Linked DNA regions of Ovis aries. The protein of the gene in region 4 interacts with the protein of the main gene of each other region in a pairwise test. Links are inferred from orthologs where the notes say so. Each region holds a gene or a part of one and is shown on either strand. Other genes may lie near its edges.

Region 1 (3,500 bases), on a different chromosome or scaffold from region 4:
ACCCCTTCTCGAAGTATGTATTATGCTAATATTCTCTGCTGAGAGAGTTTATCATTCTAACATGAATTATTATTTTCATTTCTGCCAACAGAGGAAACTTCGAGAGGTGTCCACAAAGTTCCAGCTTTTCCAGAAGCCTGCTAACTTTGAACAGCGCATGCTTGACTGCAAGCGTGTGCTTGATGGTGTGAAAGCAGAGCTTCATATTCTGGATGTGAAGGATGTGGACCCTGATGTCATACAGACCCACTTGGACAAGTGTATGGTAAGGCCACTGGGTTGTTAATGTGTCCAACGGGTTTTCCTGTTGCTAATATGGCTTCATCTAGTGCTTATGTACATGGTTTGTTCAGTTGTTGTTAGTCTAAAATGTGCTAAGAATAAGGATAAATGATGAAAAACAGGTTAGAAAATTAGAAGTGTGGTTCTTTCCTCCTAGGAAATTAGAAGAGATAGGAGAGAGAGACAGCAGAGATTAAAATCAATCACTCCAGTGTAAGGAGATCCAACCAGTCCATTCTAAAGGAGATCAGTCCTGGGTGTTCTTTGGAAGGAATGATGCTAAAGCTGAAACTCCATACTTTGGCTACTCCATGCGAAGAGCTGACTCATTGGAAAAGACTCTGATGCGGGGAGGGATTGGGGCAGGAGGAGAAGGGGACAACAGAGGATGAGATGGCTGGATGGCATCACCGACTCGATGGACATGAGTTTGAGTAAACTCCGGGAGTTGGTGGTGGACAGGGAGGCCTGGCGTGCTGCGATTCATGGGGTTGCAAAGAGTTGGACACAACTGAGTGACTGAACTGAACTGAACTGAAGTACAGTGTAATGAGATAAGGAAACCAGAATAGACATGTATATAACATGATTTAAAAACAAGAAGAAAGCATATCTTAATCACAGTATGAAGTTAGGGAAGGCTTTGACAGAATGTGACTAAACAGCTAAATTTTAAAGGATAAATTTGAGTTAGCTAGAAGAACCAGGAAATGGCAACCCAGTCCAGTATTCCTGCTTGGAGAATCCCATGGACAGAGGAATCTGGCAGGCTACAGTCCATGAGGTCGCAAGAGCTGGACACAACTTAGTAACTAAACCACTACCAGAAGAACCATACTTAGAATGAATGTCAGGAATATTGCAATGTACAGCAAATTCATTCTCAAAGAAAGTAAAATTTTAAATATTAATTTATACAGTTTAAGCCTAAAGTGTGAAAGAAGAAATTATACTTAGAATGGATGTCAGTCATATGGTAGCATAAAAATCATTCTCTAGGAAATAAAATTTTAAATCAAATCTAAACTTAAGATGTAAAAGAAAAAATTATTTGAAAGACTTTATTACTTTTTAGTTTGAACTTTAAAATTCAGTTGCACAGAAATTTAAAGATCATGTGCCTGAGTATTTGGAGAAGGCAATGGCACCCCACTCCAATACTCTTGCCTGGAAAATCCCATGGGTGGAGGAGCCTGGTGGGCTGCAGTCCATGGGGTCGTGAAGAGTCGGACACGACTGAGCAACTTCATTTTCACTTTTCGCTTTCATGCATTGGAGAAGGAAATGGCAACCCATTCCAGTGTTCTTGCCTGGGGAATCCCAGGGACGGGGGAGCCTGGTGGGCTGCCGTCTATGGGGTCGCACAGAGTCGGACACGACTGACGTGACTTAGCAGCGGCAGCAGCAGCCTGAGTATTCAGTCTTAGAATTGGGGTTTTGCCTGAGAAGAATCATGAGAAAACGGAAGATGACACATGTTAAGAAAAGTCTGGGAAGAGTTCTTTGTGCTTTTCAAAACTGCAATCTCCACATGTCTTTGCATGCTGAAGATTGTTTGATTACTTAAAAACTGGAATGAATGAAAGGATGAACAAATAGGATGTATTTTTATACATAATACGTGTGCATATGCATGTATGAATGTACAGGTATATTTACTGAGATGCAGAGATCACCAAAGCAAGCACTGTCCTTGATCTTGGGTCATTTAGTCCAATGGTCTGTTACTATGGGGCCATGCCACGTGGGTGTTTCAGGTCAACACTATGATGAATGGAGATAAGAGAACCTGCCCAGGATAAAGCTTTTCAGTTTCAAAGCAATGAGGATGAGGGCATCTCTGAATTTGACCTATATAACTTCAGCTTCTTACATATTGATGTATGGAACTTTTATATGTTTTTTCATTATATAACTAACATGTGCTCATTGTGGTAGACTTTGTATTTCAGAGAACTGTAAGAAAAAAATTGTATCTTAATACTTTGAAATTCCCACAGCCGGAAATAGCCAGCATTAGCTTTTTTCTAGTAATGGCATTTAGGATTTTGAAAAATGTAATTTTAAAAAATGTTAGACGTTCAACTTTTTGTCCTCATGTTTCCCATTTTTTGTAGGAAAAATGTTCATATTATCAAGTACTTCCCTAAACCTTTAAGATACAGGTTTGAGTCTTTTTTAAATAAGACAAGTATAATCCCTATGAGTGTATTTTCTTATCTGAATTTAAAAAATTATTACAACCTTGATTTCATCTTACTCATTCTTTGAACCAGATCTGAGAGAGATAAAGCCCTTTGATCTCCATGGTTAGTTCTTAGCTGTCGATCTTTGTCATCCATGTTCTGAAATGTTTCCAGTTACCACATTTTCACTAATATGTATTATTTGTCTGGCTTTATTTTTAAGAAACTCTATAAAATTTTGAGTGAAGTCAAGCTTGAAGTGGAGACAGTAATCAAAACAGGAAGGCACATTGTCCAGAAGCAGCAAACCGACAACCCTAAGGGGATGGATGAGCAGCTGACTTCTCTGAAGGTTCTCTACAATGACCTGGGTGCCCAGGTGAGCAGGGCAGGTGTACTGCCCCCTCTGTCTCTCTCATTTATGTATTCTAAAATTTTACTTCTGGGAGAAGAATGCTTATTTGAATTTTATGGCATCAATCATACATGTTTCCATTTATTCCAATAATTTTTATTATATATCTTTAAAAGTGTGTGTTGACTATGAGGGTCACTCCATTTCTTCTAAGGGATTCTTGTCCACATTTCAGTTCAGTTCAGTTGCTTAGTTGTGTCTGACTCTTTGCGACCCCATGGACTGCAGCATGCCTGGCTTCCCTATCCATCACCAACTCCCAGAGCTCACTCAAACACATGTCCATTGAGCCAGTGATGCCATCCAACCATCTCATCCTTTGTCGTCCCCTTCTCCTCTCACCTTCAGTCTTTCCGAGCATCAGGGTCTTTTCCAATGGGTCAGTTCTTTGCATCAGGTAGCCAAAATATTGGAGTTTCAACTTCAGCATCAGTCATTCCAATGAATATTCAGTGTTGATTTCCTTTAGGATGGACTGGTTGGATCTCCTTGCAGTCCAAGGCACTCTCAAGAGTCCTCTCCACCACCACAGTTCAAAAGCATCAGTTCTTTGGTGGTCAGCTTTCTTTATAGTCCAACTTTCACATCCATACATGATGGCTGGAAAAACCATAGCT
Region 2 (2,434 bases), on a different chromosome or scaffold from region 4:
AATTAATATGTACAACCAGCAGTTGCCTTTTTACACCTCTAATGAATCTCCTTTTAAATTTAATTTTAATAATCCAAGTGCATTTTTTAATTTGTCTTGTTTCAGTGAGATTATAAAATTGTTTTTCTTTTTTTAGAAAAAGGAATTAATTTAAAAAGCAAACTATTCTTACTTTTTAGATGAGAGGTTATCCAGTTTTTGCTTTATCAAGCACTTATTGATAAATGCAATGAGATGTATATCTCAATGTAGCAAGAGTATATGAATTTGTAAATTATTTTCATTATGAAGTTAAAGTTTTAAGTTCTAGTGAATCCATTTTAAAGCATTCTATTTATTGCCTGCTAAAAATTCTATTTGTCTAATGTGAAAATGTATCACACTAAAAATGAACTATGTAACCAATAATCTTAAAATTTTTATTTTAATCCCAGTCTTCAGAGCATCTTTCATCTGTGTTTCATCAACTTCATACCATATTAACTTGCTTACTGCAGAAAGATAAATCTCAGAACAATTTAAAATAATTATTTACTTTTAAATTTTAATTGGAACTTTGTTGTCTCATCAAATATGGAAAATAACACCTAAATTTAACGTGGTGTTATTTATTTCTAGGAACTGGAGCTCTGTCGAAGGTTATACAAATTGCATTTTCAACTGCTGCTTCTGTTCCAAGCCTACTGTAAACTTATCAACCAAGTCAACACAATAAAAAATGAAGCAGAGGTAAATATTCAGTTGTAGTAGGCATTAGTAACTGATCGTACAAAATTAAAATACATTCATGCTTATTTCCTTGTAGGAGTGCTAAGGTCGAAAGTCACTTATGGAGAGTGGCTAGTGGGTCTTTTTTCCCCCCATAGTTAAGTATTATCAGTTTTTGAAATGATGTGCTATTTTAGGACCAGTTAGTAAATCTAAAAGCAGATATCCAATGATCTTAAAAGGTTTGAGACGTTAAAGTTTGCAATAGCAGCAATAGATCATCTGTAATCAAAAATCAAGTGAAGCACGTCAATACAATAAAGACAAAATTGTATTATGAAACCCCCTAACATCTTGTCCATGTAGTATTTCTATAGTTCTAGTAACTCACACAAAAATAAACACATCAAGAACACTGCAGGTATTAGAAAGCATGAACAGATTCACTTTTAGAATCTTTCCCTCTTGCCAACCACTGGTACCAGAACTATCACCAAGGAAAACACTGCATTTTCTAAATTTACTTTAAAAAAAAAAAAAACATACATACCGGCTTATATAAAATACCTTGGAGAAATAGCCCTTTAAAATATAAAGACATCTCATTACTGTCAATTTTTTTTCATGATCCTCCCAGAATTCCAGGCCTTATGTTACGAAACAATAATATAAATGTATTTTTACTATCCAAGATGAAGTATGTATAACATGTTATCACATGTTAAAATATAGACCAATATAAACAACCTATTGTTTTACTTATTACAAGGTATTGATAACATTTATTACATTTAACCTGTTGTTTTATCAAGAGTATCTAAAGACTACTGTTTGGCAGCTGAAATTATTCCAGCTGAATAGAGAACTTGAAATATTAACTGTCCTAAGTTTAACAACTGAAAATAATCTTGAAGAGAAAATATTACCATCATCAGATGTAATTTCACAGCTAAGTAAGTACTCAGTATTGTTACTGAATGTACAAATTTGATCCCTTTAAGGTATATTTATTTCTTTCAGGTCTTCAACATGTCAGAGGAACTTGCCCAGTTGGAAAGTATCCTCAAAGAAGCTGAGTCTGCCTCAGAAAACGAAGAAATTGACATTTCCAAAGCTGCACAAACTACTATAGAAACTGCCATTCATTCTTTAATTGAAACTTTGAAAAATAAGGAATTTATATCAGCTGTAGCACAAGTCAAAGCTTTCAGGTAAAATGTGAAGGGATTTATAGGAGATGCCTTTATACCTAACTGGAAATTTATGATGGAGTTTGGGTTTTCAACTTGATGTCTCAATCTTTGTGAAAGGAAAACATGACCTTATTTTGTACACTTACCAATGCAATGACACCAATTCTAGACTTTGTTCATTCTCGGTGCTACTTTCAGTAATATTTGTTAAAATGTTAAAACAGATCCTCAGTGATTCATAAGGAAATTACTTTTTTTGTAAGTATTAACTTAAAAGTACTTAATCTGGAATGATTGCTATGACTCTCAGGACTTACAAATACTGTGTGCTTTCAGATCTCTCTGGCCCAATGACATCTTTGGCAGCTGTGAAGACGCCCCTGTCCAGACGCTATTACACATCTATTTCCACCACCAGACGCTGGGCCAGACGGGAAGCTTTGCAGTCATAGGCTCTGACCTGGACATGTCAGAAGCCAACTACAAACTGATGGAACTTAACCTAGAAATAAGAGAGTCTCTACGCACGGTGC
Region 3 (4,117 bases), on a different chromosome or scaffold from region 4:
CCGCCACCACTGTGAGGGAGACAATCCAAGGTCCTGTCAGAAGGGACAAACGGATACTTCAGCCACTCTCCAGCAGCATCTCAGGACGCCCAGCTCAGGGTCTAGCTGTTCTATTTTAAACTAAATTATATGCTTCCAAGACAGGACAGTAACACTAAGCTCTCAGCCCCAAAAGAGCAAATGGGTCTTAGTGGGATTAACCTGGAGTAACAGGACTCAATCAGCCCAAAGCCCTTTTTCGGCTATGAGATCCCCTGTGCTGAGGAAACACAGAAGCAATAATAATATTTACTGAGCATTTTCTATGTGCTAGGCACTGTGGGCTAAGCACTTAACATTCAAGATCATCTTAAGAGTATACACCATAATTATCCCCATTTTTGGAGTTGAGAAAACTGAAGCACAAAGAAGGTAAATAACTTGCCCAAAGCAAAGGCAGGATTTAAATCCGGCCTGTCTGACTCTGAGGCCCAGCCCCTTAGCCACTACACTACAGTACACACAGGCAAGTAACCAACAATAATACATAAAGTTTAAAGTCAACGTCCACTGTTCATACTGCCAAAGAGAAGCTTCCAATTTGCAGAGAGCCCTCTGACAGGTTCATCCATTACTCTGCGGGTGCTGTTCAACTTCCAAGTACCAGAGGACCTCAGGCAAGAGTAGATTTTGGAAGGTAAAACTGCAGAGGACATTTTCCTTTAGTCCAAAATATAGAATATAAGTTAGATAATTTCACAAGTCTTGGACCTCTTTGCCTTCTGCAATTGAAGATAAAACCATTATTATATAAGAATCAACTAGACTATTCCAAAGAGAATAATGCCTCAATTCAAATCAATTGATAGAGCTTTATAAAAACTGCTTTTACAAAATTTCAAATTACACTATACATCTAAATGTTTTGCAATGTGGCTAATTACAAGGCTAGCTCTATGTTTATGCCTTTCACTTCAGTGTTCAGAGTGAGAATGCAGTTTCAAATATGTGTTGAAGCAACTCAAGGCAGAGTTTTAAGGTCATTAAAAATGAACCTAGAACTTCACTGTAGAAATTAATTCAAGCAAAGTGGAAAGGGAAGCAGAATAAGTCAAGTTACAAATCAGCCTTAAGGATAAGGAATAAGGAGTGAATAAGCGCTAACTATCTCACAGTAATTACAGAAGAAAATACTTAGAGATATTTCAGAGTTTTTGTTTAGTTTTAACATTTGGCACACGTTTTAAAATATGTACCATACAAAGTGCCTTAAATAAACTACTATTTTTTTGGCCTACTGAACTGAAAACATTCCACAATATAATTACAGAAATAACTTTCTGGTTTTCTCAGGGATAAAAAAAAAAAAGACATTTTATAAAACAAATTCAGAGGATAACAAAGAAAGAGATAACTCGATTTACATAAAGATTCCAAGAAAGACAGAAATGGTAAGTGAAAATGAGTGATCCAGCAGACTGTTAAAAGTCCTTTCTACCCACAAACTGTACGAACTACATCATAGACACTGCTACAAATGTACATCATAAACACTGTTACAATTTTGAATACCTGAAAGTAAGAAGAAAAACAAACCCACGCAGAATGAACATTGCCACAGAAAATTTCTACTGAGTCTTAAAACATATTAAGTTATCAGCAGTGCTAGACCTGCAGGCACTTGAGGAAGCTATCTTAAAAAAGAGAAACAAGCTTTATGTTATCAACATTCACAACGATGTGTAAAACTCTATTCTAAGATGGATAAATACCCAGGAAAGGAAACCGACCGACTCAAACCTGCACTGGTACATTAAGAGACTTAAAGACGCAGGAGGGTAACCACCGTGGAGCCCAGCAAGCCTTTGCGTAGGGTTGCAGGTACCCCTGCACACTCGCATGAAAAACCCGCAACTCGGGAAGGAAGGCTGGAGGGAAACTCTGCACTGTCATCTAGGGCGATCTCCTTCATGTCCAAATCAAACCCACAAGGCGACAAGTTGTAAGCAGAGAACACACTTCGGATCAAGTCAACCACAGAAAGGAAGCAAGCTCGGCCATCGCCGTCGTCACACCACTACCCACCTTGAAGCCGGGTGCACTTAGGGGCTGAGAGCTGGGTAGGTGTGGAGGCAAGGCGCGCGCCCGGCCCTGCCCACCGCCCCTCCGCACCGCTCAGCTCTGCGCTGCACCGCGGTCACCGCCGAGAGAAAGGAAGAGCAGGGCAGGGGGCCGCCTCTGCTCGGAGACCTCACCGGCTACCCTCTGCGAGGGCTGGAGAGGGGACGACCGAGTGACCATGGGTGGGGGCGGGGTGGGGCGTTTCCCAGAAATCGGCCAAAGCCCCCACCCATCAGGGATTCCCTTCAAGACCCGGTCCACCCCAGAAAGACACGGGTTACACAATCTGTCAGGTAAGGGGCCCAGAGGTAGCAGGGCGCAGACCGAGGAGGGCCGGGGGTCGCTCCTTCCTAGCTTCTCCCGCCCCCAAGACACCGCGGCCGGGGAGAGCGAAGTGGTGGCTGGCTGGCGGATTAGCCGCGGCCGAGGGGCTGCCGGCCAGGACGCGCGGACGGCGGCGGCGGCGGGGAGCTCACCGGCTCAGGATGGGGCGCTGGCAGGAACTAGGCAGAGCCGCAGCACCCGGCTCGGCGTCGGCAGCGCGAGCGGCTGCTCTCCCGACACACCGCGGATACCTAGTCGCCCGCCGCCGGGTGTTTTCATACAAACCCCGGTGGCAGGCGAGGAGGAGGAGGAGGTGGCAGTGGCGGTGGCGGCGGCGGCGGCGGCGGCGGAACCTGCCCGCATCCCAGGCAACGTCAGCGCGGCGCCCCGCCCACCGCACTCTTCAGCCCGCCGGCTCGCGCGCGCCGGGCGGGAGGGAGGGCGGGGTGCGCGTGCGCGCGGGCCGGGTGAGCGCGCTCCGCGGAGAGGGCGGGGTGAGCGCGGGCGGGAGCAGCGGCGGGGGCGCGTTAGGGAGCGCGCGTGAGAACGGAGGGAGCGCGCGCAGGGGGAGGACTAAGGGAGCGCGCACAGGGGGAGGGCGGGGAGCACGCGCAGGGGGAGGGCGGGAAGCGCGCGCCGTTGTTTGGGGGCGGGGGAGACCCGGGCGGGATTTTGGAGCGGGTCCTGTTCGGGACGCCGGCTGTTGTACCCTGCAGCTGCTGCTCTACCCAACCAAAGGGGTCTCCGGGCGGCTGCCCACATCCCGAAAGTCACCTTCCTTTACGCTCCCAATTAGAGCCTCCGCTTTTCCCCAAAACTAAGCTGGAGCGCACCCCCACCCTCTTAGGAGGCTTCTGCGGCGCCGGACCAGCGGTTCTTAACTCTCGGACTTACGTGAGGTCGCATTGGACCCTGAGGACCGCGGTAAAATTTAGCCTTTTCCTGACCTCAAAGAGAGCTCAAGATAAGACGATAAAGGCAAACAGCTATCACATCTGAGCTCCCAGAAACAATGAAATTTCACCTTGTGGCAGTGCCTCCATAAATCAGGTATCTAGCTCTGCAACGAGCAAAATAGCGTGCTGATTTATTTTTTGCCTTTTTTGTAAACCTGCGTACAAAAGTCTCAAAAATGGTAATGCTAAATTAGCCGCTGAAGGCAGAGATGGAATGTTTTATCTGAACCAAAGTAATGTGTCAGACAGATTAAAATACTGATACACTCTCTTCTGTTTTGACTGTATGTAAATATGCTATAATATATTCCTAATAAAGGCTGACATTTACTTTCTTTCAAGAGCATGGATCATCTTTGCTGCTGTTTATAGTAGCTGATAAGGAATGTAAAGTTGTTACAACCAGATAGGGAAATAAATTGAGAGCTCTAAGGTTTTGTTTTGTTTTCTTATCATCCTGTTTAAAAGAAAGTAAGCAGGTGTGAAGGCCATTCAAAAGGTAATCCAAGGTACATCCTGCAATTTGCCCTTGGCAAGTGTCCTACTCAGATAAACAAGAGACTAACATTTTAACTAAATCCTGTAGTTTCCTTGACTGTGAGCACCAAAGGTAGGTTACAGTGCTTTAGATAATTTTAAAACAATTACCACACCAAACCACCCAGCCTGAAAAGCATTATCTGAAAACACCTAATTACCTAAATATTTAACATTTCACAAAAATTAAATATATGTGA
Region 4 (3,500 bases):
TATCCCTTCTCCAGGGGATCTTCTCGACCCAGGAATTGAACCAGGGTCTCCTGCGTTGCAGGCAGATTCTTTACCAGCTTAGCTACCGGGGATGCCTGGGTAAACAAAATGTGGTATATAAATACAATGAAGCATTTAAATTCAGCCTTTAAAAGGAAGAAAATTCCGACACACACTACAGCATGGATGGACCCTGAGGACATTATTCTAAGTGAAATGAGCCAGCCATGAAAGGACAAATACTGTATGATTCCACGTAGACACCCGGAGGAGTCAGAGTCACAGAGAAATAAAGTAGAAAGATGGCTTCCAAGGCTGAATGCAGGGGGAGAGGGGGGTCAGAGTTCAGTTTGGCAGGATGAAAAGAATCCTGGAGATGGATGGTTAAGATGGTAAGTTTTCTATTACTTGTATTTTACTACAGTGGAAAAAACCCAAACAAACAAAAACAGAAAGAATAGGGATGGGAATTCAAAGGCAGGAAGTAGGGAGGTGTGGTGGGAGACCCTGTCAGTGACACCATGATCTTGGACCACTGGGATACACGCTGTTGTCTTCTCAGCATGTCTTAGCCGTGGATCTTCAATACCTCCTCCTGTGTCTCTTCCCGCCCCTACTGGAGGAGGGGTCAGCAGGTAGATCAGGTAGGGTGGTCGGCATCTTGGGGTTGCGAGGACATGGGTGAGATGGGGAGACAGCCAGTATTAGAGCTGTGCTCTTATCAGCTGGCGGCCAGCGCAGGAACCATGGGCGTATGTTGATTAAAAGAGTCTCATTGGAGATTCAGGATGCTACGGGCACTGAGATGATTATCTGCCATAACGCTGTGTGCACAGCGGGCATTCAATTACCTGCTGCTTGTTTGGTTCATTGACCTCAAGATTGGATGATACTCAATTCTTGGGATTTGGGTTGTCATATTAGTGGAAATTAAATTTATTTAATATTTTTATGAACCTTAGGCTGCATAACCCTATCTGTGGCATCTCACTGTTCTTTCAATCCTTAGACTTAGGAAACTATGGCTTCTAGTCTTTCTCTGCATGCTGTATCTGCATGCTTGGGGGCAGACCAGCCAAGGCTTGTTTGCTTTTCCTTTTTTGGTCGTGTTAGCTGCTTTGCTGGCCTCTCAAGTCCCTGAAGTTTGTTGCACTCTGTTCTGGCTCTATCACCTGAAATAAGTAAGTGGTTTACATATTTGCTGGATTCTTCCAAGTCTAATTCTTGGCTCACCACCCGCAGTTATTTAATGCTTGGGAGGGAAGCTTTTTCCTTATGCCAGCTAATCAGAAATACAAAGCTGACATGATTTTTCCAGTTCAGCAAACCTCCAAAAATCTGCCCGCCTTCAAGGGGAGCTTCACGGCCCTCATGCAGGTGGCGAACTCTGCTGTAAAGAGAGAGTTCTCAGCAGTGTAGTCGACCATGAATGGGGTTAATTTACAAAACCTGCTCTCTCCATTCTCTGCAGAAAGAAATTGAGACCCTCCAAGCCAGGATGTCTGTTCTGGAAGCAAAAGATCAACAGCTGAGACGGGAAATTGAGGAGCAGGAGCGGCTTCTCCCGTGGCAGGGCTGCGACCTTGTGGGAGGGTTGTCCCTGGGCGAGCTGCAGGAGGTCACCAAGACCTTGCAGGACACCCTGGCCTTGGCCGAGCAGATTCCCCTCCGTGCAGAGCCACCTGAAGCCATCCAGAGGTACTGGTGATTTCCTAAGTGATTTTGGATCTCTCGCCTTGTCGATCTGTTTATGGGGTTGATTTAGTCTGCGGTCCTACATATGTAAACGTTGGGTTGGCCAAGGAACTTTTCCGTCAACTCAGTATTTTCCAAGCAGTGCTGTGTATTTTCAAGGGAAAGTACTCCCGGCATTTTGAGGGTCAAGGCCCTTCTTTGTGGGGGCAGCCCTGTCCACTGCAGGACGCTCTACACCGTGGCTACCCAGCCTATTGGGCTCCCTAGGTGGTTCAGTGGGTAAAGAACCCGTCTGCACTGCAGGAGACACAGGCATATACGAATCGATCCCGGGGTCAGGAAGATCCCCTGGAGGAGGCCATGGCAACCCACTCCAGTATTTTTGCCTGGAGAATCCCATGGACAGAGGAGCGGTTGCAAAGAGTCAGACGCGACTGAGCAGGATGCACACAGCCTGCTAAATGCCTCTTTCTCTCCATTCTGCTCAGCACCTTCCCCATTTCCTAACGCCCCCCGGGCGCCTTCTCTCTCTTTGGGATCTGTTGGAGTTTGATCGGTTGGAGAGTTTGATGCCAACAATCGTCTGGAGACAAGGGGAATGTTAGAAAGTGTTAGTCGCTCAGTTGTGTCCGACTCGTTGCGACCCATGGACTGTAGCGCACCAGACTCCTCTGTCCATGGAATTCTCCTTGCTAGAATACTGGAGTGGGCTGCCATTTCCTTCTCCAGGGGAATCTTCCTGACTCAGGGATCGAACCTGGGTCTCCTGCATGGCAGGCAGACTCTTTATCATCAGAGCCGCCAGGGAAGCCTGGAGGCAAAGGAGGGAATGAGCTACTAAGAGGGGAGACTCAATCAGTGACCAGGAAGAAGAGATGATCATTCATGACAACCAGCATTTATTGAGTCTTACTGTGTGTCAGGCGCTGTGCTAAGCTTTACGCGATGAGTGGCGTCTATTATTATATCCATTTCACAGATGAGGATAAGAGAGCTTAGGAAGATCAAATAGTTTGCCAAAGTCTCAATTGATAAGAGACAAAACTGATACTAAAATTCGTGTTTGTTGCATCAAAGCCTAGTTTCTTACCCGCTTGTGGAGGGAGAACCTTCCCTGTGCTCTCTGTTGAGGAAGACACAAGAAATACGTGTGGACCTCTGACCTTCTGGGAGGTCATTACCTTATTCTGGCCAAAGATGGAACCTGCCCCTACTCCTATTAGACAGAAGTCGAGCTGGTGGTGAGGCTTGAGGGTGCAGCGGGTGCAGCAACGAGGGGAATGAATGTGCTGCTCAATTACGCTGCAGGAAACACTCAAGAAAACCTTGCCACCTGTAGCGGCTGAGAATAGGGACTCTTGCTATCTACTCATCCATATATTAGTTGGAACCACTTATTATCGGGGGGCTGTTCCTCGGATGAACTGGGTTAAAATGTATCAATATAAGGGTCATATGATGGTGCCTGGGTGGCAGCACGCCCCTTTACTGTCATATAATGGTGCCTGTCCTTCTCATCACAGGGATTTCCATCTTCAGAAGCCTTCTAACTGCTGTCCAAATGTGTCTTAGACTGTTTAGCAAGTATCTGCCCTCTTACACATGCCACACTCGGTGGTATCAGCTGGGATGCTCGTCCAGGAAGATGCTCACCATGTCCTCCCCTCCCCGTCCCAGCCCTGATATTTCCCTGCAGAGCTTTAACCCTGGGCTCCATCCACAGGGAAGGGGAGGGCGTGTGTTGTTGCCAGATTTTAGTCAAAGGAAGCTGACCATCAAGCCTGCCTGTGCCCTTTCTCCTTCAC
Region 5 (3,500 bases), on a different chromosome or scaffold from region 4:
TCATGGATACAGGGAAGAATGCGCAGAGAGGCCAGGTGACTCGCCCAAGGTCACCAGGCAGCAAGGGCAGAGCTGGGCTGTGAACCCAGCTGGCGTGTGCTGGATGAGCGAGCGGTGAGTAAATGTGAGCACAGCCTCCTCACGCCTTGCCCGTCAGGTCTGGCCAAGCACCAGGAGGTCCCAGCCCACCCGCCTGGCCCTCAACACCAGCCTGGTTCAGGCCCGGCTCACCGTCTCATAGTCACGCAGGGCGGCCCGGAACTTGCCCAGCGCCATGTTGCTGGCGGCCCGGCGGTAGTAGCCCTTGATGTACTTCTTGTCCATCTCGATGGCCCGCGTGGCGTCGGCCAACGCGTAGCCGTAGCACTCGGTGCGCAGGTAGGCCAGGCTGCGGTTGCCATAGTAGATGGCATTGCTGGGGTTCAGCTCGATGGCCTGGCTGTAGAACTTGATGGCGTTCTCGTAGTCCTTGGCTGTGAAGATAACAGGAAGGGGGGGCGGGGTATGAGGCAAGGGTGTCACCCCCAGCCAGCAGGGGTCCTAGGCTGGGGACTGCCCAGTCCCCCCACTTACAGATGGAGAAACTCAGGCCCAGAATGGAGCTCAGAAACGTCTCTCCAGCCCGCTCCCCTTCCTGACTTGTCCCACCCTAGCACAAGCCCAAATCCCTAACTCCCTAAATCACTTCCACATACCTGCCCACCCAACCATCGCCCCTCAAGGCCCCAGCTAGGCAACACTTCCTCCGGAACTTCCGGAGGGTCTTCTGAATGTACCCCAGAGAGGGTATGTTAGTGAGTGCCAGCCCTGAGATGGTAATCAGCAACTCAGTCTGCCCTGAGCCCCAAAACAAGTATACAAGCCCAAAGAGGGGTTCCAGTAAAACAGAAGTGGGGACAGAAAAGGGACCTACTTAGGGCTCAGGAAGGTGACACAACAGAGACTCAAAGGAAGCGATAAACCAGACCAGAGGGAGAGCCTTCCCCATGGAAGGACTAGCAGGTGCAAAGGCACTGGGGAGGAGAGCACGAAGTTCTAGGACCAGCGAGAGGGTGGTGTGTCTGGGGCGGGGTGAGCCTGGGGAGGGTAGGAGGTGAGGGCAGGGGAGCTGGCAGGACGCATCCCAAAGTCCACAGCCAGAGCAGGGTGCAGCGACAGGACATGACATCTGGCCTAGGGGAAAAGTCCATTTTATTTGAAATGAGCCACGGCTGTGCCCTGCCTGTTACACCTCGACCCGGGGCATCCGCACATCCCCACGGCACAAGCACCGTCTGGTGCTCCCTCTACAGCAAGCCACAGAGGTCTTGTTCAAGGTCAGACGCTCAGTCTGTATCTGCAGAGCTGTCTTGGCCCATGTGGCTGTTCAACAGGCAGGAGACGGAAGCCAGGGGGAGCGCCCGACCTGAGGGTACGTGATGTGCCAGGTGCCTTGGGGGGCTCTTGGCACACAGGTCCCTGCACAGGTCCCTCATGGCACCCCGAGGACGGCTGCGTTAGCCCCACTTCCAGATGAGGCTCTAAGAGGGAAACCACGTCCCCAGGCAAGTGGCAGACAGGGGTTCCGAAGCAGGCGAAGCGCCACGGGCTCCCACGGTCACCCTCTGCACGAGGTGGCCTCTGGGGGGACCGGCACAGGGCAGACACGGACATGGGGGCAGGCAGTCTGGGCCCCATCCCCGCTCTACTCCCAGTGAGCTGTGTGTCCTGGGGCAACTTACGTACCCACTCTGGGCTAAAGTTTCAGAGAGTCCTCCGGACCCTCAGCCTAAAGTAAGAACTCCTGCCCTAACTCCCACTGTTCTTTTCCCCAGAGGCATCTGAGAAAACAGGACCTTCCTTTGTTGTGTTTGCTTATTGCCCAGCCTCCCAATGTGAACTTAAGTCCTGTAAGGGCAGGGGCGCTGTCTGTCTTACTCTGAACCCTGGCCCTGTCTGAGGACACAGCAGTCCCCCGCCCTGCTGTCCAGGGGCTCACGATCCAGTTGGAGGTTGGGACGGCACACAGATCACCGCCCCCCAGGCCGTGACACCCGCAGTGCTGTGGCTGGGGCCACCCAGTGGGGATGCCAGGGCTGAGACTCGGAGGAGGAGGAGTCAGGAGAAAAGAACGGAAGAGGACTCCCGGCTCCGTGAGTGGTTCCTGAATGAATGAAAGAAGGTAGGAAAGAAAGAGAAAGACGGACACACCGACAGTAGAGAAGGAAGCCAGGTGCTGCGAGGTGCCAGGAACAATGTTACGATTCCTTCCGCAGGCGAATGTCTGGCAATCTTTCAAATGGCTCGGATGTCACCTCCTTTGAGAAGCCTTCCTTGACACCCAGGCGGGGTCAGGCACCTTTCTGAGCGGCCCCCGCCCCGAGGCCCCGCTCTCCCAGGCCTCCCTCTCTGGGCAGTCACCGTTAGGTGATGGGTGTGTCTCCCCAGGACCGTGAGCCCTGGCTGGAGGGCAGGCCCAGGACTTCCCAGAAACATGCCTGGGCAGAACGAGGCAGCCGAGTCTGACCGACCCTCCCTGGAATGCCAACACCTTCGAGGACTCCTTCCAGCCTCCTGGCCGGATTCCAGAGGCCGGCAGCCAGCGTGCCTGCTGTGTACCTCTGGGCACGGGGTGGGGAGCCTGACATCAGGCTCTGAGGATCCCGACCATGAGACCCTAGACAGATAGCCTCCCCTCTCTGAACCTCAGCTTGCTCATCTGAAATGTGGGAAGCACAACTGGTCCCGCCTCATGGGCTGGCTGTGAGGGTTAAAAGAACTCCCAGATGAAATGTGGCTACAGCCGAGAAAGCGATCAGCAGATGCTCGTAAAAGAACGGACTGAACAACCGACTGGAGGGGAGAAGAGACTAGAAAAGAGGAAACGGGAGGGGCCTGGGCTTCACACAGCTCTCGGACACAAGATCCCAGCCCTGCTCTACAAATATGAGTGCACTTAACCCTCAAGGGAGGCCCCATTTTAGAGAGGAGAAAGCGAGGCACAGAGAAGTTAAGGTCTTCCCAGGGGTCACACAGCAACTAAGACAAAGAAACAAGATTTGAACCCAGGCAGCCTGAGCTCTTAACCGGGTGAAGTCTTGGACTCAGGGGCCTCCTTCGGGGTTAAACGGAACCCCTCTCTTTGTACAGAAGGCGGTAGGAGGCGAAAAGGCTCAGAGAGAGGGGAAGAGGGGTGAATGACAGGAGGGACCAGGCTCTTCCCCCCGGGGCCTCTGGATCAGGCCTGAGTTCCCAGGGGTCAACCAGCTAGGGTCCTGCAAGCCCCTGGGGGCCCTCATCTCCCTGCTCACCGCCCCGGGGCCAGGACGGCTCCAGGTAGGGCTGCGGGTAAGGACTCTGAATGTGGGAGCCAAGCACGTGGTGAGGAAGGGGGATATCCGGGCCGTGCCGCTCGCACACTCTGACCTTGAGCAAGCGGTTTCACTTCTCGGAGCCTCAGCTTCCTCTATAAAACAAACAGGGCCCGCTCCTGCCTGCCTCCCAGCGCCCGGGGGAGGATT
Region 6 (3,500 bases), on a different chromosome or scaffold from region 4:
CAGAGCACCAGACCTTCTGAAGGCCACGTCCAGGTCTTCGAAAGTTAAACAGGAAGTGGTCCAAACAGGATGGCTAAAGCAGAGAATGGCCGCCGAGGGGTAAGAACGGGTCAGCAGAAGGCCCCGTCCTCCACCTTCCGCTCCTCGGCCGTCACAGAGCTCACGTGGCGGCCGCCAGCCTGGAGCTCAAGTCCTGCTCCCAGGGCCCCAGATAGGGCCAAAGTGACGCGTTCTGAAATCCTCTCTGGGAAACGAAAACCTCTTGGCTGTGCGACTTAACGGCTGCTTCAACCTGTTTCTTTCAGATACCATTGTCCTCATCGCCTCCATAGCGGTCGTTTCTGCCAAAACTCAGGGTAACATCTTCGCCACGTCGGCGCTGCGCAGCCTGCGCTTCCTGCAGATCCTGCGCATGGTGCGTATGGACCGGCGCGGCGGCACCTGGAAGCTGCTGGGCTCCGTGGTCTACGCGCACAGCAAGGTGAGCTCGCACCTTCCGCACCCGCGGCCGCCCTGGTCGCCAGACTCTTCGAAAGCAAACTTGGGCTTTTCAGAAACTGACTAAAGCCATGCGAGGACACAATGTGGATTATGTAAAAGTCACCATAAATATCCAAGCAGTAGTCAAACACATGAAATCATGCTCAGATTTTGTTTTTGTTCCTGTTTCAAGTATTTTTCACCTCTAAAAAATCTCTCTTTCTTTTTATATCTATAAGGCTTCCCTCATAGCTCAGTCGGTAAAGAATCTGCCTGCAATGCAGGACCCGGGTTCAATTCCTGGGTCGGGAAGATCCCCTGAATAAGGAAATGGCAACCCCCTCCAGTATTCTTGCCTGGAGAATCCCATGGACAGAGGAGCCTAGCAGGCTATAGTCCATGCGGTCGCAAAAGTCAGACACCACTTAGTAACTAAACCACCACCACCACCACCACCACCACCACCATACCCAAGCAGTAGTCAAAGACATGAAATCATGCTTAGATTTTGTTTTTGTTTGTGTTTCGAGTATTTTTCACCTCTAAAACATCTCTCATTCTTTTTATATCTAGGAATTAATCACAGCTTGGTACATAGGATTTTTGGTTCTGATTTTTTCGTCTTTCCTTGTCTATCTGGTGGAAAAGGATGCTAATAAGGAGTTCTCTACCTACGCAGATGCTCTCTGGTGGGGCACGGTGAGTGGGAAAATCCGGTTTTATTTATGGGATGTTGTGAGATGTTTCCTTTGAATACAGTGCAGTGATTCCCATGAGTGGTCTCAGTAATACTATAAAAGAACTTCCAAAAGGGAAGTTAGTTTTGTGCAAATACGCAGCACTTTTAATTATCTGAAGAGTTGCCTCACCGGCTTAGGTCTAACAAAGTTCTCTTACAAATCAACTTACTGCTTCATGCGTGCCAGTCTGTTGCAAAATAAAAATGAATAATTTTTTAACCTTGATTAAAATGTTCACGAGCTCACTTATTTAACTTTGTGGAGCGCAGCTTTGAAGTACAAATTGTTGTGTTGTTTGTCACTCATCAGAAAGTTTATCTGAGGCTTTAAAAAAAGAAATAGTAGCTGAACAAAAGCTATGAGTAAAATTTTGGTACAAAAAGGGAAAGAGAAAAGAGTGGTAACCATCTGTGAGATCAGAGATTACAGACACTGTGTTTCAAATGTTTCTACTCTTTTTCCTTTATATTGTTGTTAAAGGATGGTTTTCCAAACAAATAAAAGTTAAAACATGACTCTCGTACACATAGAAAATAAAGCATGTGTAAATATTTTAAGTCATTATCAGTGAAGGAACTAAGAAGATGTTACAGCCAGTTCAGAGGACTATCCACAGAACAGAAGTGTGTAAAGATTAGGAGTATTGAATCTGCAAACAGAGGCAAACCTGGCTTCTTCCACAGTGAAAGCAGGAAGTCAGAGGCGCCCCCACCAGACAGAATTTCTTTACATATCTATAGACAAGAATTATTTTGCATTCCTGCTGCAACTTACACAATCCTAAAATAGCTCAAAGGCCATGAAAGGTACAGAGTCTGCCCCCCCCCACCCCATCAAATCAGAAATCGATAACCTAGAAGAACATACTCTAAACAACACATAGTTTTGCACTGAAGCAAAAATTGTCTTTCTATTGTAAAGAATTTATTAAGCAGTCATTGAATTGTGTACCCTAATAAGAATGTTTTAAGATAAAGGAATGCTTTATGCAATGTGTAAACTGCATTTCTTTTTATTTTATTCCTTAATATGTGCCAAAAGGGTGAAAATACAACAGCAGTTAGAGTTGTCTGAAGAGTCTCTTTGGTCCAGCAAACTTGTTGTCTTATAAAGCACTTGTAATATTTCTTGAGTGTTAGATTGTTGCCAAAGTAAAAATGCATCATCTTCTTAAACTATGATTGAAGCATTAGTAAGTTTGTTAGCCAGTCTGCCCCGTGGAGCTCACTGCTGCGCTCTTCCGCTATTTGTCAGAAGCTCATCAGTGAGAACTAGAATTGTCATCAAAGACGAGGATAACTCATCAGGGCTTGAAGTAAGCAGAACCTGGTATAGCAGCAATAAAATGAGTAAGAATCAGAAGTATAGTCGTTTGAAGATTAAGATTCTTTTTCCTTAGATTGTCAGAGCTAAATGTCTACAAGATTGTGTCACTGATAACAAAGCATCCTGTTGTTTCATAATTTGGTTTCCAACTCCTTGCCCTCCCCCACAAGCAATAATGACCACTTTGAAAGAAGGAAAGTGGAAAACCCAGAAGAGAGCTGTCATCTGACATGCCTAAAATACTTTGTATGTGTTGAGAACAAGTGAAAATGTATGACTCATAGTGGGGATAAACTGAGTAAACTGAGCAAAAAGGAGGTTTTTCTAGCCAGCAAGGGGAAGACAGCGATTTGAATTTTAGTTTCTGCATCGCTGTGAAAATCCTAATGTGGCTGAATGACTGAGACCCGTGGGCGCCCTTCTGTACTGAGGTGCAGCTGCTGGTGCATCCACCTGGCACCTCTCTAGCCTTCCATCCATCTTCCTACTACTCTCCTTCCTACTTAACCCCTGCCTACTGCATTGTGTGTTGAGTGTGTGGGGGAAATTCTCCATGTACTTAGTCACCAGCTTGTTTCTTTGCCAGAATAACCCACGTAGCAGGTTTCCAAAGGTCATCTCTGTGCCTTTCAGGGAAAAGCAGCATCTATTCATTGATTTCAGCGCAGCAGTGCTATTCGACTGAAGTTTAACCTGTACTTAGGGCTTCCCTGGTAGCTCAGCTGGTAAAGAATCTGCCTGCAATTCAGGAGACCCTGGTTCGATTCCTGGGTAGAGAAGATTCCCTGGAGAAAGGATAGGCTACCCACACCAGTATTCTTGGGCTTCCCTTGTGGCTCAGTTGATAAAGAATCTGCCTGCAAAGCGGGAGACCTAGGTTCTATCCCTGGGTTGGGATCAACCAAGGGATCCCTGGAGAAGGGAAACGCTACCCACTCCAGTATTCTGGCCTGG
Region 7 (3,500 bases), on a different chromosome or scaffold from region 4:
ACCCAAGATGGCACTGTGTGGGCAGCTGGCTTACTTGTGCTATGCTCATAGCTGCCTCCCAGCAAGGCAAACAGCCTGCTAAGAGGGCACCTACTTGTACCTAAAATAAAGACTAAATGAAGTGGCCACAGGATAGTAGCTGGGGTTTAAGCCGCCGAGCTTGAGTGAAGGCTAGGGTGAGGGCGAGGCTGCAGCTGAACCTACAGCCTGTGGTCTGCCCTCCGCCTGCCTCCCTGCCGGCCATCTGTCTCATACTCTCTCTACCTGCCGACCACACTATCCCTTACGACCTCCTCACCTGCCCTCGTGTGCTTCCACCATCTCCTCTGTGCCGGGCTCGCTGCACAATCCGCGACGTGAACTCACACACAGCGACCCCAGGGCACAGGGACTCCTCTGCCTTCGTTGTATAGATGGAGGGGAGGTCGGAACCGGAAGTGGTCAGTGCCCTGGTTGAGCCACACGGCCACCGAGTGGCACTTCCTGCCTCAGGACACCAACAGGCGGGGCCCTCGGCTGCTGCCCTCCTGAATTGCCTGCCAAGCGCTGGTTAGAGGCAGATCCCCACCCCCGACCCCGCTGCCACTGGCTCAGCACATCCATCTCTGTGCCAAGGTCTTTCTGAAGAAGGAATTAAGCACAGAAGCGGCTGCACTCCACGGTGGAGGGCAGGGCTCCGGGGGCCTCTTCGTCCTCTCTCCTCGCTCCCGAGAGGGCCATTTCAGCGGCCCGAGGGCAGCCACGTGAAAGCCCCAAGATCGCTAGCCTGAAAAATGAATTCAGCCGGCTTCTAAAAATAGGCCGAGTTTGGAGGGGAAGGCCACCCGCCTGGGACAGGCAGCCTTCTCCTGGAAAGGCGCCTAGCGTCTCATCAGAGCTAACTTCTCTCTCTGAATTTCCACCTTACTGCTTGGTCTGTTAATCAGAAAATGTGGAGGTTTAATCTTGGTTTCTCACTGGTCTACGTGGTCTGTCTACCAGGGAATAAAAACAGTGCTGTGCGGAAATGAGTAACAAGAGAGAAGTGTCGGGGAAGTGTCCGGAGGGTCTGGAGAGTGGGATGGGAGTGTAGCGCCTTCACAGGCAGGAGCCAAAGACAGTGCCCACCAGAGGTTACCACACAGCCCGTAACCACTGAGAAGCCCGACACCCAGCAATACGCCAAGCATTCCTGCTGCCTCCTGGACGCTGATATGGGAAGGGCGGGTGGAGACCGTCCAGCCCAGACCCGTCCTGAAACTGTCCCAGGTCACCCAGCCCCGGACACACCAGGACTTGGGCACCAGGCACCACATGTGAAAAAACAGTAGCACAGAATCCCTCACAAGGCGCGGACGAGCGCACACACCACAGCGGACTCCTTCCAAGCCTCCAGCATCGCTCACTGCCCTCGCTGGGCCTGGGGGACTTTCCTAGGGCACCTAGAACAGCATTAAAAATAACCCAGACATGGGAACCTATTCACACAAAAGGTTGGCTGACTCTGTCTCCTTGCCCTTTGAACGTTTTCTGTCTCCCACCTAATAGCACTGGGTTTGTTTGTTTGTTCTTTTTTTAAAGTACTTGTTCTTTTGGGATGTTTTAAGTTTAAAATACGGCATTTGTAGTGTGCAGGGGGCGGGGGGTAGGGGATGAAAAGAGGACCAAGTGAAAGCGCCAGATAAAACCTAAAGGAAACTCGTGCATAAAGCAGAATCATGCTGTTACTCCAAAAAGTAAACAATAAGAAAATGAACCACCTTTGCGTTAGAAAACAGTGAGTGAGAAGGGCCAGCCAATCTTTCCTAAGAAAACCTAAAAATGGAATTGGGATTTAACATGTGCTATTTCAAAATGGACTCTGACGTGGACACGTTAAGATTTGCTAAATTAACCAGAAAGTTGATAAGGTGATGGGTATCCACCACAGACAAGACTCGGAAGGAGCCTTGGGGCCACCGGCTCCCAGCCCCGCACCCTCCAGGTGCCAGAGGGATCCCCTCGCTTGTTAGGAATGGCGAGCCTTCCGCCTCGATGCGATGGAATTTTCTGCATGGTTCGGTTTCTCAGGGAGCTGTGTCAGCCCTTTCCTGAAAGCTGGAGGGGATGAGATGTGCTTCCAGCTCTATGAAACTCGTGTCCTAAAAAGCCACCCAACACACAGGGACACAAGCGCACACACACCCGTGCACACACACTCTCTTCAGATGCCATGTAACATCTAACATCAGTTTTCCAGATGTGCAGCTCAGTGGGGTCTGTGAGCTGGCCTCTGCACGGGATTGGACAAGGCCCTAGGACAGGCGCGGCCTACACTCCTCAGCTACCTGTCCAGGCAACCCTACCCAGGGGCCCTAACCCAGCCACCGCTGGGGAAGCCAGGCGGGCGCTGTCCAGTTCAGCACCACTCCCTGAGCCTGAGTGAGCCAGCGGCAGGTGGGCGGTGCAGTGCCCCGCCCGCAGGGTTCTGGGCCTACCTAGTTTTTGCATGCATGCACGGAGCCTCTCTTCAAGATTGGACACTCTGCTCTGCAGTTCATCGTAGTCATAGGCGCCAATTTCCTCTTGCAGCTCGTTAAGCACTGCCGTCAGATTCTGGACCTCCTCCTTAAACTGCAATACCAATTTGGCATCGGCCTTGTACTCCTCCAACACAGGTATCAAAGGCCTAAGTTCATCCATTTTCGCTTTTATTGCCTGCAAGGTTAAAATAAGCTGGGTTCAGTGCGATGCGTGCAAAAACTTCTAACACCCTGCCTTGGCCTGGCTTCTCCCTAGGTAAGGGAAAATGTCCACACTCCCGCTTTCTTTATAGATTGATTTATTCTGGTCCACAGGAGTTAGAAGAGTATATTAAACAGTCTTCAGAACACCAACATATTTGGGAAAGGTCTTTATTGTCAGTTTAGAATGCAACATCTTATGGTTACATGCTTTAAGTCACATACACAAAGTATCTCTTTTTTTGTTTGTTTTTGTTTTTTCAAAAAATGCATTGACAAGGGTTCAAACTATTCATGAAATGCATCTACAGCCACATGCAAAAGAGATCCTGGTTGTGTTCAAGGTTCCTTAGGGGCAGGTGCTAAGTAACGGGAAATAACAGTAAAAATGCAGGCTGCAAAAAAGCTCTCTGGGTCTCTGTCATGGTTACATGGGAGTGGACTGCTTCTTCAGTCTGCAGCATTGAAAAAACTCTTTTAAGTTAGCCCTGCAAGCAAGAAAATGAAAACTGTTGAAGAGCTAGCTTACTAGCCTGCCTGAAACAGACAGCCATTAACAGACAAATATTTTCACCGTCCACTTAAAAAAAAATCACTCTTCAAGGCTAGAGTCAGTCCAGACAAACTGCTTTCACAGTCATTTAGGTGCCCTCACAGGAACTGCTGCTGCAAGTGTTCAAGGCAATTAAAGTGCGGTCAGAAGCAAGGGTAGCCTGTCTCCCCCCCCCCCACCGCCCCTCAGAGCCATAGCATTCAAGATCTGAGGACTAGGAGAGCATGCTTGCAAGGAGGAGCTAG

Evidence for each region.
Region 1: the proteins of DISC1 (region 4) and UTRN interact in a two-hybrid assay, tested with the Homo sapiens proteins (2 studies listed by BioGRID and IntAct). The link is inferred for Ovis aries from reciprocal best matches to the Homo sapiens genes DISC1 and UTRN.
Region 2: the proteins of DISC1 (region 4) and FRYL interact in a two-hybrid assay, tested with the Homo sapiens proteins (2 studies listed by BioGRID and IntAct). The link is inferred for Ovis aries from reciprocal best matches to the Homo sapiens genes DISC1 and FRYL.
Region 3: the proteins of DISC1 (region 4) and AGTPBP1 interact in a two-hybrid assay, tested with the Homo sapiens proteins (2 studies listed by BioGRID and IntAct). The link is inferred for Ovis aries from reciprocal best matches to the Homo sapiens genes DISC1 and AGTPBP1.
Region 5: the proteins of DISC1 (region 4) and PPP5C interact in a two-hybrid assay, tested with the Homo sapiens proteins (2 studies listed by BioGRID and IntAct). The link is inferred for Ovis aries from reciprocal best matches to the Homo sapiens genes DISC1 and PPP5C.
Region 6: the proteins of DISC1 (region 4) and KCNQ5 interact in a two-hybrid assay, tested with the Homo sapiens proteins (2 studies listed by BioGRID and IntAct). The link is inferred for Ovis aries from reciprocal best matches to the Homo sapiens genes DISC1 and KCNQ5.
Region 7: the proteins of DISC1 (region 4) and OLFM1 interact in binary tests that used the Homo sapiens proteins (3 or more experiments, as listed by UniProt). The link is inferred for Ovis aries from reciprocal best matches to the Homo sapiens genes DISC1 and OLFM1.

Annotation. Positions count from the first base shown.
Region 1 is NC_056061.1:69,042,803-69,046,302, forward strand, and holds part of UTRN (utrophin), read left to right. Parts: intron 1-91; coding exon 92-265; intron 266-2,691; coding exon 2,692-2,847; intron 2,848-3,500.
Region 2 is NC_056059.1:67,859,188-67,861,621, reverse strand, and holds part of FRYL (protein furry homolog-like), read left to right. Parts: exon of another isoform or gene 1-618; coding exon 619-729; exon of another isoform or gene 730-1,728; coding exon 1,729-1,919; exon of another isoform or gene 1,920-2,237; coding exon 2,238-2,434. UniProt on the Homo sapiens protein: Plays a key role in maintaining the integrity of polarized cell extensions during morphogenesis, regulates the actin cytoskeleton and plays a key role in patterning sensory neuron dendritic fields by promoting avoidance between homologous dendrites as well as by limiting dendritic branching.
Region 3 is NC_056055.1:33,977,582-33,981,698, reverse strand, and holds the start of AGTPBP1 (cytosolic carboxypeptidase 1), read right to left. Parts: upstream 2,801-4,117; 5' UTR 2,577-2,800; intron 1-2,576. UniProt on the Homo sapiens protein: Metallocarboxypeptidase that mediates protein deglutamylation of tubulin and non-tubulin target proteins.
Region 4 is NC_056078.1:3,975,749-3,979,248, forward strand, and holds part of DISC1 (disrupted in schizophrenia 1 protein), read left to right. Parts: intron 1-1,471; coding exon 1,472-1,698; intron 1,699-3,500. UniProt on the Homo sapiens protein: Involved in the regulation of multiple aspects of embryonic and adult neurogenesis. Required for neural progenitor proliferation in the ventrical/subventrical zone during embryonic brain development and in the adult dentate gyrus of the hippocampus.
Region 5 is NC_056067.1:53,378,727-53,382,226, reverse strand, and holds part of PPP5C (serine/threonine-protein phosphatase 5), read right to left. Parts: intron 474-3,500; coding exon 232-473; intron 1-231. UniProt on the Homo sapiens protein: Serine/threonine-protein phosphatase that dephosphorylates a myriad of proteins involved in different signaling pathways including the kinases CSNK1E, ASK1/MAP3K5, PRKDC and RAF1, the nuclear receptors NR3C1, PPARG, ESR1 and ESR2, SMAD proteins and TAU/MAPT.
Region 6 is NC_056062.1:630,751-634,250, reverse strand, and holds part of KCNQ5 (potassium voltage-gated channel subfamily KQT member 5), read left to right. Parts: intron 1-305; coding exon 306-481; intron 482-1,053; coding exon 1,054-1,179; intron 1,180-3,500. UniProt on the Homo sapiens protein: Pore-forming subunit of the voltage-gated potassium (Kv) channel broadly expressed in brain and involved in the regulation of neuronal excitability.
Region 7 is NC_056056.1:1,395,144-1,398,643, forward strand, and holds part of OLFM1 (noelin), read right to left. Parts: intron 2,677-3,500; coding exon 2,457-2,676; intron 1-2,456. UniProt on the Homo sapiens protein: Contributes to the regulation of axonal growth in the embryonic and adult central nervous system by inhibiting interactions between RTN4R and LINGO1. Inhibits RTN4R-mediated axon growth cone collapse.